Rhinolophus ferrumequinum: one gene and its partner. The protein of the gene in region 1 interacts with the protein of each later gene in a pairwise test. Links are inferred from orthologs where the notes say so. Each region holds a gene or a part of one and is shown on either strand. Other genes may lie near its edges.

Region 1 (7,848 bases):
GATAAATGCAAGTCCCAGTGTGATGGGAGCAGGGGAGGGAGAGGGAGAGAGGCTGTCTTTAAAAAAAATATATATAAAATAATAAATTTAAAATTAGGTATGAAAGTGAATATTTATTTAGAGTTGGCAAATGACTACAAAAAAAATAAATATTTTAAAAACTTACATAATAAACATTCATTAATTGCCATTCATTCGTTACTTTGCAACCCTTTTCACCTAGTTTTCGTCTAACTACTCTTTAGTCCTCCTTTCATCTGATAACAATTTGATGATAATATTTTATATAAAGAGAATAGAAAGATAATTCAATCTTTCCTATAGTATAATTATTTTTTAATTGACAAGAAGTATAAAAAAACTGTTTGTAGTACTAATACAGGTTTGTATGTTTATAGACAAAGGAATTTGATAAATTCTCTTCCATATGATTCCCATCAAGAAAGACATAGGGTACAGTTATAGTTTACGTGCGGTATTACTGAGCATGTCTCATGTGTATAAAAGATGACCATGTGAATACATTACTAAGGTCCTTCAGGACCTTGGAAAGGGCCCATGTATGTGAGGGGACTTAAAGCTTCAGTTTAATGAACTTCACTATCTCTAATTTCAGCAAATATTATTCTACCCAGTACTGTCTGAAAGGCCAATGTACCAAAAGACATTGTTCCTGTAATTCAGTCCTTGCCTTAGCTACGCCTGCTTCCCAAGGTCTCTTTGGCCTCCCTACCTCTGCTGAGACCCAATGTAGTAGAACGAATATGTTCTGAATGTTGGTCCAGGTCAAGCAGCAGCTGTCTGCCCCGTGAGGCCCACATCACCTAAGCGCCTCTAGGCTGTGTCTTTGCAGGCCCCACACACCACTGTGCATATTTGCTAAGCCTGGCTTGGTATTGATACCAGGGTTTTTGCTTGGGCCTCCGTACAGATTACTTGGTGTTCACTGACCCCACTCCCCAATCAATCTCCACTTATAGCCAGTGTGTATCATTTGCTTAACGCCCAAGACCTGGAGTTCTACCTGGAAGATAAAGTCAGGAGTGAGCAAGAAATCTTAACATTTACTATTAAAATCTCCAATCTTTACTCCCGCCCTCCGTCTTTTTTTTTTTTTTTGGATGCTCTGCTCAGCCTCTTCCTTCTCCTTTCATCTGTGTGCCTGCAGAGAGGGTACAATCTGGTCCATCCTCCCAAGATGACAGCTCTAAAGGTAGCAGTGGGGATAGATACATTTAATCAGGAGACTGTTAGCAAGCTCATTTGGCTGCACATTTAAGCCACTCCAATCTAGATTTTTATTATTAAATAAAGATTATACTGTGATCGCTTCCTGCTTGGTTCCAAACTCAGGCAGGAAGGAAAGGTGTTGTTTATTGGGCCCTCTCAAAGTCCAACACAAATAAAAGATGATGGCACCTTCCAGATTGGTGACAACATATAAATAAAGAAGCAGAGAAATTTGAAATACACTTGAGAAAGTAAAATTGATATGCCTCAGTGCTGGATTAGACATGGTGGGGATACCATGGGGGTCCCTAAGACCACATCATGTCTGGGGGTTCACTGGAACTCATAGAACTCTTGATATAGTTCTTCTGATGTTAAGATTACTACAGTGATATAAAGCTACACAGCTAGATCATATGGAAAAAGGACATAGGTGGAATATGGAAGAATCCACGTGAAGGCTTCCTATCCTCTCACCCTCTCAGGAGGAGCCACATAGAGCTCATTCTTCCTCCAGCAATAAACTATGTGCAATATTTCCACCCAAGGAAGCCTATTAGATACTCAGCACCTAAGGTTTTTATTGAGGGGTGGTCACCTAGTCACCTCTGCCTAAGATGTTCCAGACTCCCAGAAGAAAAGGAGGTTGTGGTCACATAAGCCATATTGTTTGTACAAACAATATAGTCACCCCTATTATTTAGGGGAAGTCTTTTTACAGTGTAGGGAAGTGTTTACTAGCCAGTTCCCAGAAGCCAGCCAAGGGCCAACCTTGTAAGCAGAGCTTTTTAAGGATAACAATCTCAGGTCAGCTATGTTGTCTTTTCTGCACAGGAAGAGTGAGGAAAAGGGAGATGTAAGTATGACATCCAGGTTTCCACCTTAAGCACGTATATGTCACTTATGGAGATGGAGGAGACAAAGGAAGTATAGGCTTAGGGGAGAAAATTATTCCAGTTTTGAATACATAGAATTGGAGATAGCTATGTATGAGATATCCAGTTAAATATACTGTGTTGCAATCATAAACCTTAAAATTTAAGTGGCTTAATACAACAAAAGTTTATTTCTCACTTAAGTTACATGTCTTTTATGGCTTGGTGGAAGTCGTTGTGTTGGGGGAGGGGGTGGGTGGTCTGTTCCACACAGTCACTCAGGGACCAAGGTTAGTGCAGGCTCCACCATCTAGAATATCAACTGTGACAGAAAAAGAGATGACTGGAGAGGTCTCATACCAGCTCTTCTATGCTTCAGTCTAGGAGTGAAACACTGCATTTTCACCCACAGCCCATTAGCCAAAACTAGTAACATAGCCTCAACCAACTGTAGGTGGGGCTGGGAAATGTGGGATAGTAGATGGGATGTTTGGTGAACACCACTGTTTCTACCACAGTATCCAGGTAAGAATATCAGGTAGGTAGCCCAAACAAATGAATGTTGTGGAGACTCACTAGGAGTCATAAGCAAATAGGTAGTATTTAAAACCACCCTCAGTTTCTCATGATCTGAACCCCAATGTCCTAAGAAGGACAATGGTGTCACCCTTTCTGGTTTGAAGAAATAGGAAATCCTATTTTGTGGATATTCTTCAAACCTCCCCGTAGTGAAACTTGTAACACACACACGGATGTTTTCACTAGTTCACAAGACAAGACTTTGGCTTAGGATTGAAGGCAGTTTTTGAACCTCTCGGAAAGGAAGGACTTGGTCCCAGAAAAGCCTGCCTAGAAACATCCTGATGCTCAGAGCAGAGGAGCAGGGATCACCAAGGTGAGAAGGGACATTTGAAACTATATATACTGAAGGGCAAGATCAGAGAGGAAAAGCTAGTGTTTTCAGTGGTAGGTAACAAAACTCACGCCAGAGCTACCACTAGGTGTCACTAGTAGGAAATAAAAGGATGAAAGGAGGAAGCAAGTACCCCCAATGGTCTATCAGGTACAACTTTGTGGGAGCTGTGCCCACACTGGCTGGAATTGTGGTATTGCAAAAAAAAAAAAAAAAAAAATGAGGGTAGGAGTAATGAATTTTTTTCTGAACCATAATGACTTTCAAATGCACTTTATGGGTTCCTGCTTTTGACTCAGGTGCATGCCTGGGCCTGGTGCTTTTGTGTGTCTCAGAAGTGGAGAAAGGTAGTTTATTCTGCCTCCCACCACAGCTTTCCAAACATTTTATACTTTTACATGACTAACCACATCAATACTTTAGATGGAGATAAAAAGAACGTTACCATTTCTCTTTCTTCTTGTGTATATATGTGTGCATATCTACTGAGATCTTCAGTTTATTCAAAATCAGATTTAAGGTCTGTGGATCTAAGATATGTCTTATTTTAATGCCTAGTTTATGCCAAAGCAAAAAATAAGAACTTTTCATTGAAATGGCAAACCTTATTTAGTCCTTTAATGATACAAACTAAGAACTGCTAGCATCCTCCATGTGCCAATAAAATAACTTGGGATTGTGAACAGATAACGTGAATTACAAATCCAAATATATATTATTATTACTTTGGCAAAGCGATTCTTCAAAACTAGATGATTAATTTGTGCTTGGATCAAAAGGGAAATTATCCCATAAAATATGATTATCACCCTAAAACTATTCTAAACAAAACAGAAATCAGAAGAAACTGGCATTGGAGGCAAATCCACTATTCTGGGCTTCTCAATCTTTTACATGTTTTGGCTCATAGAAAAAATGGCACCCTAGGGTAAATGGACAAGGTTCCTGGGTTTCAGCTGCCCCAGGCCCAACAGGCCACTCAAGGATATGAGATCAGTACGTCAGGATATTAAATATACATTGTAGTTTTCAACCTTGAGATCACACTGGAATTACTTGGAAAGTTACAAAAAATCTCTCCACCTCCACCCCCACCCAAGATTTTTACTTCATCGGTCTGGACATCAGGACTTTTTAATACCCTCAGGTGACTGACTCTAAGGCATAGCCAGAGTTAAGAACCACTGCATCAGAAGACAGTCAAGGAAATTTAAAAAAAAAAAAGTCTATCAGACTCATCTATTAATAGCTTCCCGTTTTGAACACAAGTGTGAGGCTTTCTTTCTAAAAAAAAATTGAGGGAAGTATAAAGAGAAAAAACAAAAGTTTGCAAAATTCAAAATATGAAAGCGAAAATCCTTCATCACTAGTCCAAGCAACTACTGTTTTTTTAAGAAAAAGATTATTCACATACCTTTATATTTGTATCTTGAGAAGTAATTTTTTACACTAAAGAGAGCACACACTACACATATTCTATAGTTACAAGTAATCCACATGTCTATGCTGTACTTCATGTAACCCTTCCTCTGTTGATCACTTTAGCTATTCTCATTCTTTCTTGCAATAAACCTCTTTATACGTAGATTACATGCATTGTGAGCAACTTTTGCAATTTTTATACGGTAAATTCTTAGAAGTGAGACCGCTTGGTGGATTTAAAATATGGATAAACGTGAGATCAACAAACATTTACGAATAGATGCCACCTACAATCATTCATCACCCCTAAGACTCGCTCCCAGCCGAGCGCGTTCGCTCAGAGGCGGCTGTCAGGTGCGGCCCCCCGGGGCGGACGCTCTGGGGTCACGTGGGCGGCTTCGCCCCGCCTCCCGGAGCTTCGGCGTGGCGGCGGCAGCGGTGGCTCACGCAGTAGCACCACGCGGGGTTCGCAGCGGGCCGCACTCACCGAGGCGGAGCGAGGGACTCGGGAAAGGTAAGCTCTGTTCTCGCCGCGGGGTTGGGCGGCCGGGCGCGGGGCGGGGCTGGCGAGGCCGCTGCTTCCGGCCGGGCGGCGGGCCTGGGCTCAGACTTCCGGCGCTGGCGGCAGCTGCGGCTGCAGCCTACAGCTGCTGAGGGTGGCCGTCCTATGGCCTTTGCCCTCGGCCCATCGGAGCACCGCGGCCCTCGCGGGCCTTGGTCCCGCGTCTTAGCCGTTAATGCCCGGGGCAGGCTTCCGCCCAGTCACAGGGAGGCCCTCTGAGCGTGTTCATCTTAGAGTCTGGGCCGCACCCCCGACCTGCCGCCTCGGTGTGGCAGGCGGGCCCGTTCTAACCAGCTTTCCTGGCATTTGCGAGCTCTGATGCATAAAAACTGCTTCAGGGTCTTTACAGCCCTAGGTATTCGTCTTCTGAAGGGTGCAGGTGTAACGCGCCACGTCTGAACAGCCCCGCTCATTCGATCTCTGGTTATTGAGCACCCCCGATCCAACAGCTGCAGACCGGCTTGACTAAAATGTGAAACCCAGTTTGAAGTCGTGCCCATAAACTGTCAGAGCTGGAAGGGCCTTAGCGAAGACAGCTAACATGATTGTGCGTTTCCCACGGAAAAGCCCTTCTCTAAACAGCCGACCTATAGTGAAGCCGTAATGCTTCACAGCCTGAAGTAGCAGGCCTTTCCTGCTGCAGCACAGCAAAGTACAGACACTTGCCCCAAAGCGCCCAGAGACGGCTCAAACCCAGGTGACTTCACCTGGTGATCACAGATCTCTAACATCACAGACAATGGTAGTAGATTCCAGAAGGGCTATGGGACTTCATTAAATTTCTGGGGAAATAGCCCGTTTTAAATTTTTTGACATGACACTTGAACATTAGCGTTCCTAAATTTAAAAAAATTGAGGACCATCATCTTTGGGGACATATATGGTGAGATACACACATACACATAACACAACATCTTTACTTTGCTCAAAGGTTCGGTACCGTCAAGATAGTTTACTTGCAGGCCATGCATTTTTATAAATCCATGGATGCTACTTAGATAAAATGTTACGTTTTATATACCAATGTTCACAAATTTAGACTCATAGATCTGGGTTGGAATCTTGACTGCTACTTTGTGAGTTTGTGCAAGCTTTTGTTAAAAAGGGTCCTTTATCCCTAGTTTCTTCATGTGGAAAATAGGTATATTACCCCTTGGGGTTTTGTGAAGAGTAATGAACTCATGCAGAGAGTCCAAGCAGTTGGCACTCACTGAAAATAGCTAGTTTTATCTACTATCATTATGCCATCCAAAGAAAAGCTACAAAACCACTGTGTTTCCCCGAAAATAAGACCTAGCCGGTCCATTAGCTCTAATATGTCTTTTGAGCAAAAAATTAATATAAGACCTGGTCTTATTTTAATATAAGACCTGATATAATATAATATAATATAATATAATATAATATAATATAATATAATATAATATAAATAATACAATGCAATACAATATAATACCGGGTCTTATATTAATTTTTCCTCCAATAGATGCATTAGAGCTGATGGTCTGGCTAGGTCTTATTTTCGGGGAAACACAGTAAGGCATTTCTCTTCTCTGAACCCAAAAGCAACGGTAATACCCTGGAGCTATGCATTCTGATAATAAGTAGGCCAAGTCACCAGACTTAGTAAAAGCACCTTAGTCAGTGCTCAAGAGGAATAGCAAGTAAGTTCCTTTAATTTCATGTCTCTTTTGTCTCCAGTGTCTTAGGGAAACTTAATTATGTTCTTTTAAAAATTCAACCTGAATGGATTTCCTATGCTGGAAAGGTATCTAATAGACACTGAGGATCCATTTAGCTAATTTGTAATTTTATGGGGTGTTAACACCTTTAAAAACCCAATTTTAGGCACAGGCCAAAATATATTTCTTGAAGAGAGCTGTGAACAAGTTCTAAATTTTTCAGAAGTTTTCTCCGTCTAGCCCACAAACTGGTTAAGCTGTTTAATTTTTCACTTTCTTTTTATTCAGTTAAGATTCTACTATCTTAAAGTGAATTGAAAATAGAGGAAGTATCAGGGAGCGTATGAATAGCACATCAAAACAGTAATTAAGGGGAACACATTGACTCTTATTGTTGTCTGAATGGACCATGATATTGACAATATTTAATTAAGAAGTTATAGTTACCATATATAAATAAATAGAATCATTTATGATGTATAGAAGGAACAAGTATTTGAAGGATGAGATAATACTTTCCTACGCAAAATGAAAGACTGTAATTATAGTTCTCTGAAACATTTATCATTTAGCCCCAGCTTTCTCTGCTCATTTCTTATCAGCCCCTGTACAGTTTTCCTTGGTTGAAGGCAAACCCTGCAAAGACTATGTTCTAAGAGACTGAAACGTTGAGGGAGGAATTTGTTTGGTTCTCATTTATTTGGGAGTCAGGGAGAACTTTAACTTTTGACGCTATTCCACATCTCATGTATTTTGTTGCTTGATACTAGTATTTATTTTCTAGTTTTTGCCTGGAAAAAGAAAAGAGAACTACACATTTCCTCCTGTAGTGCCAAGTTTTGAAATAAGCAGTACAGAATTCTCAAGTAGTCCATTCATGATCTATGCACAGGCATATTCTCTGAAGATAGTGCCATTTGACCCTCTTTTTCTTGGATTTTGGATCATTTGCTACATAATGACAAGGTAGGATACAACTTAAATATTGAAAAAGTAATTTTAAATGTATGACTAAATGTAATACTTTGAGACATTTAATAAATTTTGTGTTTCTATCCCTTTGCTTTTCTTTATAAATTTACTCTATATACATGTATCCATGAATAATATATTGTTTGGTTTTGCCTGTTTTTTCACTTGATAAAAATGGAAGCGTACTCTGAA
Region 2 (6,439 bases), on another chromosome or scaffold:
TTTTATTCATTATTTTTTATATTTTTATTTTTTAGGGAGGGTGCAGCTCACAGCAGCCATACAGGGATCAAACTGGCAACCTTGGTGTTATTAGCACCTGCTGTAACCAACTGAGCTAACCGGCCACCCTCTGCCACCCCCTTCTTTTTTTTTTTTACGAGGGCACAGCTCACAGCAGCCCAAGGGTTGACTTGATTTTTAAAAGAAAAAGGTAGATGGGCTGAGAAAAAAGAATTTGGAGGTCTATGATAACCCTTTCTTTGCTGTTTATGGCAATTATTTTTCTCCCAGTTTCTCTTTTAAATTTGCTTTTTTTTCTCTCCACGTACCAAGTATCTCTTTATAGAGAGTCCTGTGTATCTTTTTCCAGTGTCACTTTGAGGATACCATTTCGTAAGAAAAATATTTCCAGATGTGCCTAGAAGGACCTGAAAGCCTGGCTGTACGTTAAACATGACCTTGTGACACGTCTGAGTGGGGCTGTTTCTGCCGGGGTGTGTGTGTGTGTGTCACACGTTTGCTCTTGGATCTCCCATATCTATGCTCCATTTGTTCACACATTTGTTCCCACGTGTCAAGTGGGAATTGAAGGAATAATGGAGCCACTGAAATACACAAGAAGGTATAGTAAATCGGGTAGTCACTGCATTTTCTGAAGTCTCCACAGTGACCATGATTGAGTTTATGAGGAAAATTTTTAAAAAGAAAGCAGCTCTGAGGTCTGTCTCCTTGGAAGTATGGGTGTAGGCAGGGCTCTGGGCTGGCTCCCTGGTCCACTTTGCTCTGTGACTGGGCAGGACCCACCTCCTTCCACCAGGTCCAGAGTCTGGCAAACGCGCGCTTCCCCTCAGTCTTCCCTGATCCCTAAAATCCCCAATACCCTTCCCTTCTAGAGCCGCGGTGTCGGGTTGTGCGGGTTGGGCTCTGCGCAGGTCTGATCGAGGCCGGCAGGGGGCGCCGCTCCCCCATTTTCTCAGAGGCTGCGCCCTGCATGCCGCCTTCGGTTTTAGGTGGGTGAAGGACCAGGTCCCGCGTACCTGCATCTGAGAGGAGTCGACCCAAGCAAGCAGCCCTGGGGAGGGCCCTGGCCTTGCCAGCGGGGGCAAGCGCATGACCCCTACCTGGTACCCCACTCCGGAGGGGCGGAAGCTGCGGGTCTGCGCCTCCAAGTGGCCGCCGTCAAGGGCACGGTGGATCGGAGTTACGACGTAGCATTTGGGACCCACTGCGTAACTCGCCTCGGCCGCCCGGGTTGGGGACGACCAGAATCTTCACTCGGCTGCCCAGGGCGTCCGATGAACGCGAGCCAGGGGCGCGCCGGGATCTGGCCCTGGCGGAAAGTGCGGCTCAGGCCTCTCCAGATCCCCACCCTCCCCTTCGGTGGGGCAGGACCTCTACCCCCAGGCCCTGTCAGGCCCCGGGGCGCGCCCTCCCAGGGAACACACGCATTCCACAGGCTCAGGTTTCTTTCGGGGACTTTACTCAAACACTGGAACGTGGCGGGAAGGGGCGGCTGAGGGGTCCTGCGACCACCCATCCTCAGTTTAGTGATAGCTGGAGGCCAGCGCCAAAACCACGTCGCTCAGAAACTTGTCCAGCGAGGCCTGCAGGGTGGGGCTGAAATCTCCAGGGAAGTGCCGGGCGAGGGTCACCTGCAGGCAGTGGGTCAGCAGCTGCGGAGGGAGGAGGAGGTCGTTTCCACCCGTGGTCCGTCTGCCCCTCCCCCACACCCTTCCCTGGTGGGAACTACCCCCTCCGCCGGCGAGCGGGTCCACAGCCGGCCCGCGCGCTCACCTTGAAGTTGACCGGGTCCACTCGCAGCTTATGCGCGTGCAGGTCGCTCAGAGCCGACAGGGCTCGGGGCAAGTCGTCCATGTGGTCCACGGCCAGAGTCAGTGCGTCGGCGACCTTCTTGCCGTGGGCTTTGACCTGCGCGGAGCCGGGGCTCAGGTCCAGGTGGAAGAAGTAAGTCTTGGTGGAGGGGAAGGCCAGGAAGGTCCTGCGGAAGGAACCGAGACTGAGGTGCGGCGCCCCAGGGGTGGGGACGCATCTCCGCGGCGGGCGGGAAGGCAGGTGAGCCCGGAGAAAGCCGAGGTCTGTCCGCACCTCTCCAGGGCCTCGGTCGCGTACACGCCGACGTTGTTACCCAGTTTCTTCCACAGCGCGCGCACTGTCGCCTTGTCTGCAGCCGACAGCACCATCGTGGAGCCCGGGGCCAGCCGCGCACGCTCAGCGTGCTACGCCCGAGCCAATCGGCCGCGGGTCTCTGCGGCCACCGGGGGCGCCACGCCGCGGAGTCTGGTTCCTTTGGGGTCCGGGAATGTCCAACCTGGACCTGCGTCTGTCTGCTCTGGCCTGGACCTTCGCGATCGCCCTGGACCCCCAACCTCCCATTTTTGTAGTGGTTACTATATGGAAACTAGTATTTAACTTGTACATATTATTAGGTAGTACTGAATTTTAGCATGGATTTTGGCATGGCACATCAGTTTATTCTATCCCCCTCCGGAGTCTGTTCTGACACCTCTCTGAGTATTTTCTCATTTATTGGATAAAATAAATATAATTTCTTCGCAAGGTTGATGTGCGGATTAAATGCCAAGTGCCTCGCTCATAGCGGATGTCCCGTTCAGGGCAAGGAACCTTTACTGGGTGCCTAGGATGTATCCTAATAATAACAGCGAATACCTATGTGGCACTCATTCCCTGCCGGGCACCAACCTACACCTTTATTGTTGTTATTGTGGTAAAATTTGCCATCTCAGCCATTTTAAAGTGTACAATTCACTGTCTTTAATTATATTCACAGTGTTATGCAACCATTAGGAGTATCCAGTTCCAGAACTTTTTCATCATCCCACATAGAAACCCTGTATCTATTAGCAGTCACTCTCTAATCCCTCTTCTCCAGCCCCTGGCAACCACCAATCTGTGGATTTGCCTGTTCTGGACATTTCGTATAAATAGAATCATGCAATATATGATCTTTTGTGTCTGGCTTCTTTCACTTAGCACATTTTCCAGGTTTAACCATTTTGTATCATGTGTCAATACTCCAGCGCTTTTTATGGCCCAATGACATTCCATTGTCTGGATGGGCCACATTTTCTTTGCCATTCATCAGTTTCGGGACATGTGGATTGTTTCCACTTTTAGCCCAGGCCCTCATTTTTCCTAATAATAAAATAAAGATGATTACCTCTTACTAAGATCTGAGACTGTGCCACCAGCTGTGCTAAAAGCATCACAAACGGAGGCAGGAGACTTGCTATGTCATTTTCCAAAGACCCCTGGGGCCCAGGGAAGAAAGGACACTGCTCTCAGTTGGAGGCTTGGGGCTGGACTGCAGCCAGAACTGGACACCAGGAGCCCTCACTCTGAAGCCGCCTATTCTGTGGGGAGGAAACTCATTGGAGTGCAGGCTTCCTGGTCCTGGTCCTGTTCTCGCTGTGACACTGGAGGCATCAGTGGACCTCAGAGGTGCCAGCCTGTGGGCGGTGCAGTGGATGCCAAGCTGCGCCCCAGAATGGGCCTCCAGAACTGCGATGCTCCCAGGATGTCAATGTCTGCAGGGTGAGCATCCTGAGGTGGCCTCAGGTGAAAGGGGTGCCAGGACCGAATTTCATCGCGTGTGTATTTGGGAGGCACTTGATGGAGAAGGGAGCACTCAGTGTGACTCTGAAGGAGTGGAACCCCGTGTCCTCCCCACCATCCAACTCGAAGAGGAGCCCTGGAAGAGCTCAGAGGTCCTAGGCTGGAGGCCTGCTAACTCTCAGAGCAAGTGTGTGCCCGGTGAAATGTAAAGACGGCACATGAACGCATTATTTGAGCAAACTAGTGTTGACTAGCAAAGGCTGGGAAATGAAATAGAGGAGGAGTCGGAATGTATGCAGCAAAGCCCTCCGTGGTGAGAGCAGAGGGCTGCCCAGCGAACCCCAGGCAGTGGCAGCGGGACTGGCTCCACTCCCTTTGTACCCATGTATGCCCTTCCCTCTCTTCGCTGACTGCGAAGAGGCCCTCGGTGCGAGGCACGCAGAGCCACCCCCACCCCGGCAAGTTCGCGGACACAGAGAACCCAGGCCACACAGGCTGCAGTCCACTCAGACTTTATTCAAAGATCAGGAATTGCGGGTGCGCAGAGCGCAGAGGGGCCCTGAGTCGGGGCAGGGATGAACGCGGCTCCAGCTTAACGGTACTTGGAGGTCAGCACGGTGCTCACGGAGGCCAGGAACTTGTCCAGGGAGGCGTGGATAGCAGGGGTGAACTCGCCGGGGTTGTGGCAGGCCAGAGTCACCAGCAGGCAGTGGCTCAGGAGCTGCGGAGAGAGGCGGTGTCAGGGGGCGTCGGGGCGCGGCCGCCCGCGCTCCCCCGCCTGCACCCCGCGGGGTTGTCTGCGCGCCTGGAGGGCGCGCTGAGCCCTCCGCGCGGATCTCTGGCGGCCCGGCCCGCGCTCACCTTGAAGTTGACGGGGTCCACACGCAGCTTGTGGGCGTGCAGGTCGCTCAGAGCGGACAGGGCGCCGGCCAGGTCGTCAATGCTGCCCACGGCTTTGGTCAGAGCGTCGCCCACCTTCTTGCCGTGGCCCTTAATCTGGGCGGAGCCGTGGGACAGGTCGAAGTGGGGGAAGTAGGTCTTGGTGGTGGGGAAGCTCAGGAACATCCTGCGGGGGTGGAGGAAGAGTGTGAGCGGGGGTGGGCGTGGGGGTCGGGGTGGGGTCCAGGGCAGGGTCCTGAGCCTGGCATTCGGATGAGGGCGCTGGCGCGCCTCTTCGGGCAGGTCCGCAGTCTGGACCCTGAGGTCTTGGGGACGTGGGCGCCAGCTGGGTCGGAGCCCACCGAGGAGCTGCTGGCAGGCCCGCGACCAGGCGGCCGTCGAGCCCCGCGGGCACAGCAGGGAAGGGAGGTCCTCACCTCTCCAGGGCCTCAGCGCCATACTCGCCAGCATTGCCGCCGACCTTATCCCAGGCGGCCTTGACGTTGCTTTTGTCGCTGGGGGAAAGCACCATGGTGGATTCTTCCTGAGTCTGTGTTAGGACCAGAAGGGTGGGGGCCGGGGAGTGCGCGGAGCCTTTATGCCTGAGGCCGGAGGGGCACGCCCGCCCCGGCCGCGCTCATTGGTTGGCACGGAGCCGGGGGTGCTGGGCTTGACCCCGACTGAAGGGGGCGCCCGGCGCCGTGTCTGCCTCTGGCTGGAGCGGTGGGGGCGTCGCTCCCAGGTCGCGGAGGCACCGGGTGTCTGCGGGTCTGGATATTTCTTTCTCCCAACGACCGCTTCTCGCCCGGTGCCTCCACCTCCCCCGGGAGTGATATTCTCGCCCCCTCGCTGGTGGGGGGGCGGTTTGTAGAGGTGGGTCGATGCTGGTGGCTCTTCCACCACTTGAACTCAATGACACCCTTTTAGGGTCCCTGAGCTTCCTTAGCCACAGGCTGGGCTCTCCTGGGAATCTACCCTGGACCTAGGCTTGGTACACGCTTGACGTGTTTTAATTTGGGTAGAAAAAGTGAGTGAATGGACAACGGAGGGCAGGAAGGAAGAAGGCCTCACCTAGTCCGGGGTTAGAGATAGGAGGTCCTCGCTCACGTATTCTCAAGAATTCCTGTTTGGAATCCCTCCTGTTCCCCTTCAGTCTTGGTTCTTCCAGCCCCCTTTTCTTCCACCAATAATCATGGAGTGTCATTGAGTGCCAGGGTCTCGGGAGTACAATGCACACTCAGGCTTCTTCCAGAGTTCGGGTCCTGCAACCCCATCTCGGGAACTCACCGGGGTCCCTCTCCTGTGTGATTGATTGTCTGAATGACTGTCTCTCCCCCCCACTGAGCAAGTGGTCCTGGGTCACAATGACAGTCCATCCCCCAAATTATGCCTGACACAACACTCACTAGGTAAGTAGGGGTTGCATTGATCAATAAAGCAACTGCTGAACCAGAGCTGAGATTTCAGCCTAGTTAGGGACAGAGTTATCAAAGCTTCATACAAGTACTTATATTCTCAACCCTCATTAGGGGCCCCAAGGAAGAATGAAGGAAGTAGATGAGGCATTCCAGGATATCAGGGTTAGTCTGAAGATCACCGGTGGGGTTCCCTGAGGAGGTGAAACTGGAGGATGAATAAGTATTAGGTGGAGTAGGGTGGAGGGGGAGCCGCCCAGTCGGCTTGCAGAGGGGCACAGGGAGAGGAGGCCTCTGTGGCTGCAGAATGAATGTGGGGAGATGGGGTGATGTGTCTGGCTAGACCCTGCAGGAGTGGGGGAAGGGATGGGCTTCCGGTGAAACAGTGAGAAGGGGCCGCAATTCCTGCTGATGCCGCCCCCTTACTGGTGACAAGTGATGGTCCCTTGGTCTAGTGGTGGGAGAGGGGTACTGACTAGGTTAAACATCCTAACTGGGGGGAGGAGAAAGGGAGTGAGAAGTCGTTGATATGCCCTTCTCTGGGAGCCTGG

Evidence for each region. The genes of interacting proteins can lie anywhere in the genome.
Region 2: the proteins of RFESD (region 1) and HBQ1 interact in binary tests that used the Homo sapiens proteins (3 or more experiments, as listed by UniProt). The two-hybrid records come from large-scale screens. The link is inferred for Rhinolophus ferrumequinum from reciprocal best matches to the Homo sapiens genes RFESD and HBQ1.

Annotation. Positions count from the first base shown.
Region 1 is NC_046290.1:63,520,093-63,527,940, forward strand, and holds the start of RFESD (Rieske domain-containing protein), read left to right. Parts: upstream 1-4,828; 5' UTR 4,829-4,954; intron 4,955-7,468; 5' UTR 7,469-7,561; coding exon 7,562-7,650; intron 7,651-7,848.
Region 2 is NW_022680357.1:2,231,505-2,237,943, reverse strand, and holds HBQ1 (hemoglobin subunit theta-1), read right to left. Parts: upstream 2,491-6,439; 5' UTR 2,202-2,490; coding exon 2,107-2,201; intron 2,000-2,106; coding exon 1,795-1,999; intron 1,674-1,794; coding exon 1,545-1,673; 3' UTR 501-1,544; downstream 1-500. Other genes in the region: hemoglobin subunit alpha, read right to left, coding at 4,187-4,315, 4,456-4,660, 4,911-5,005.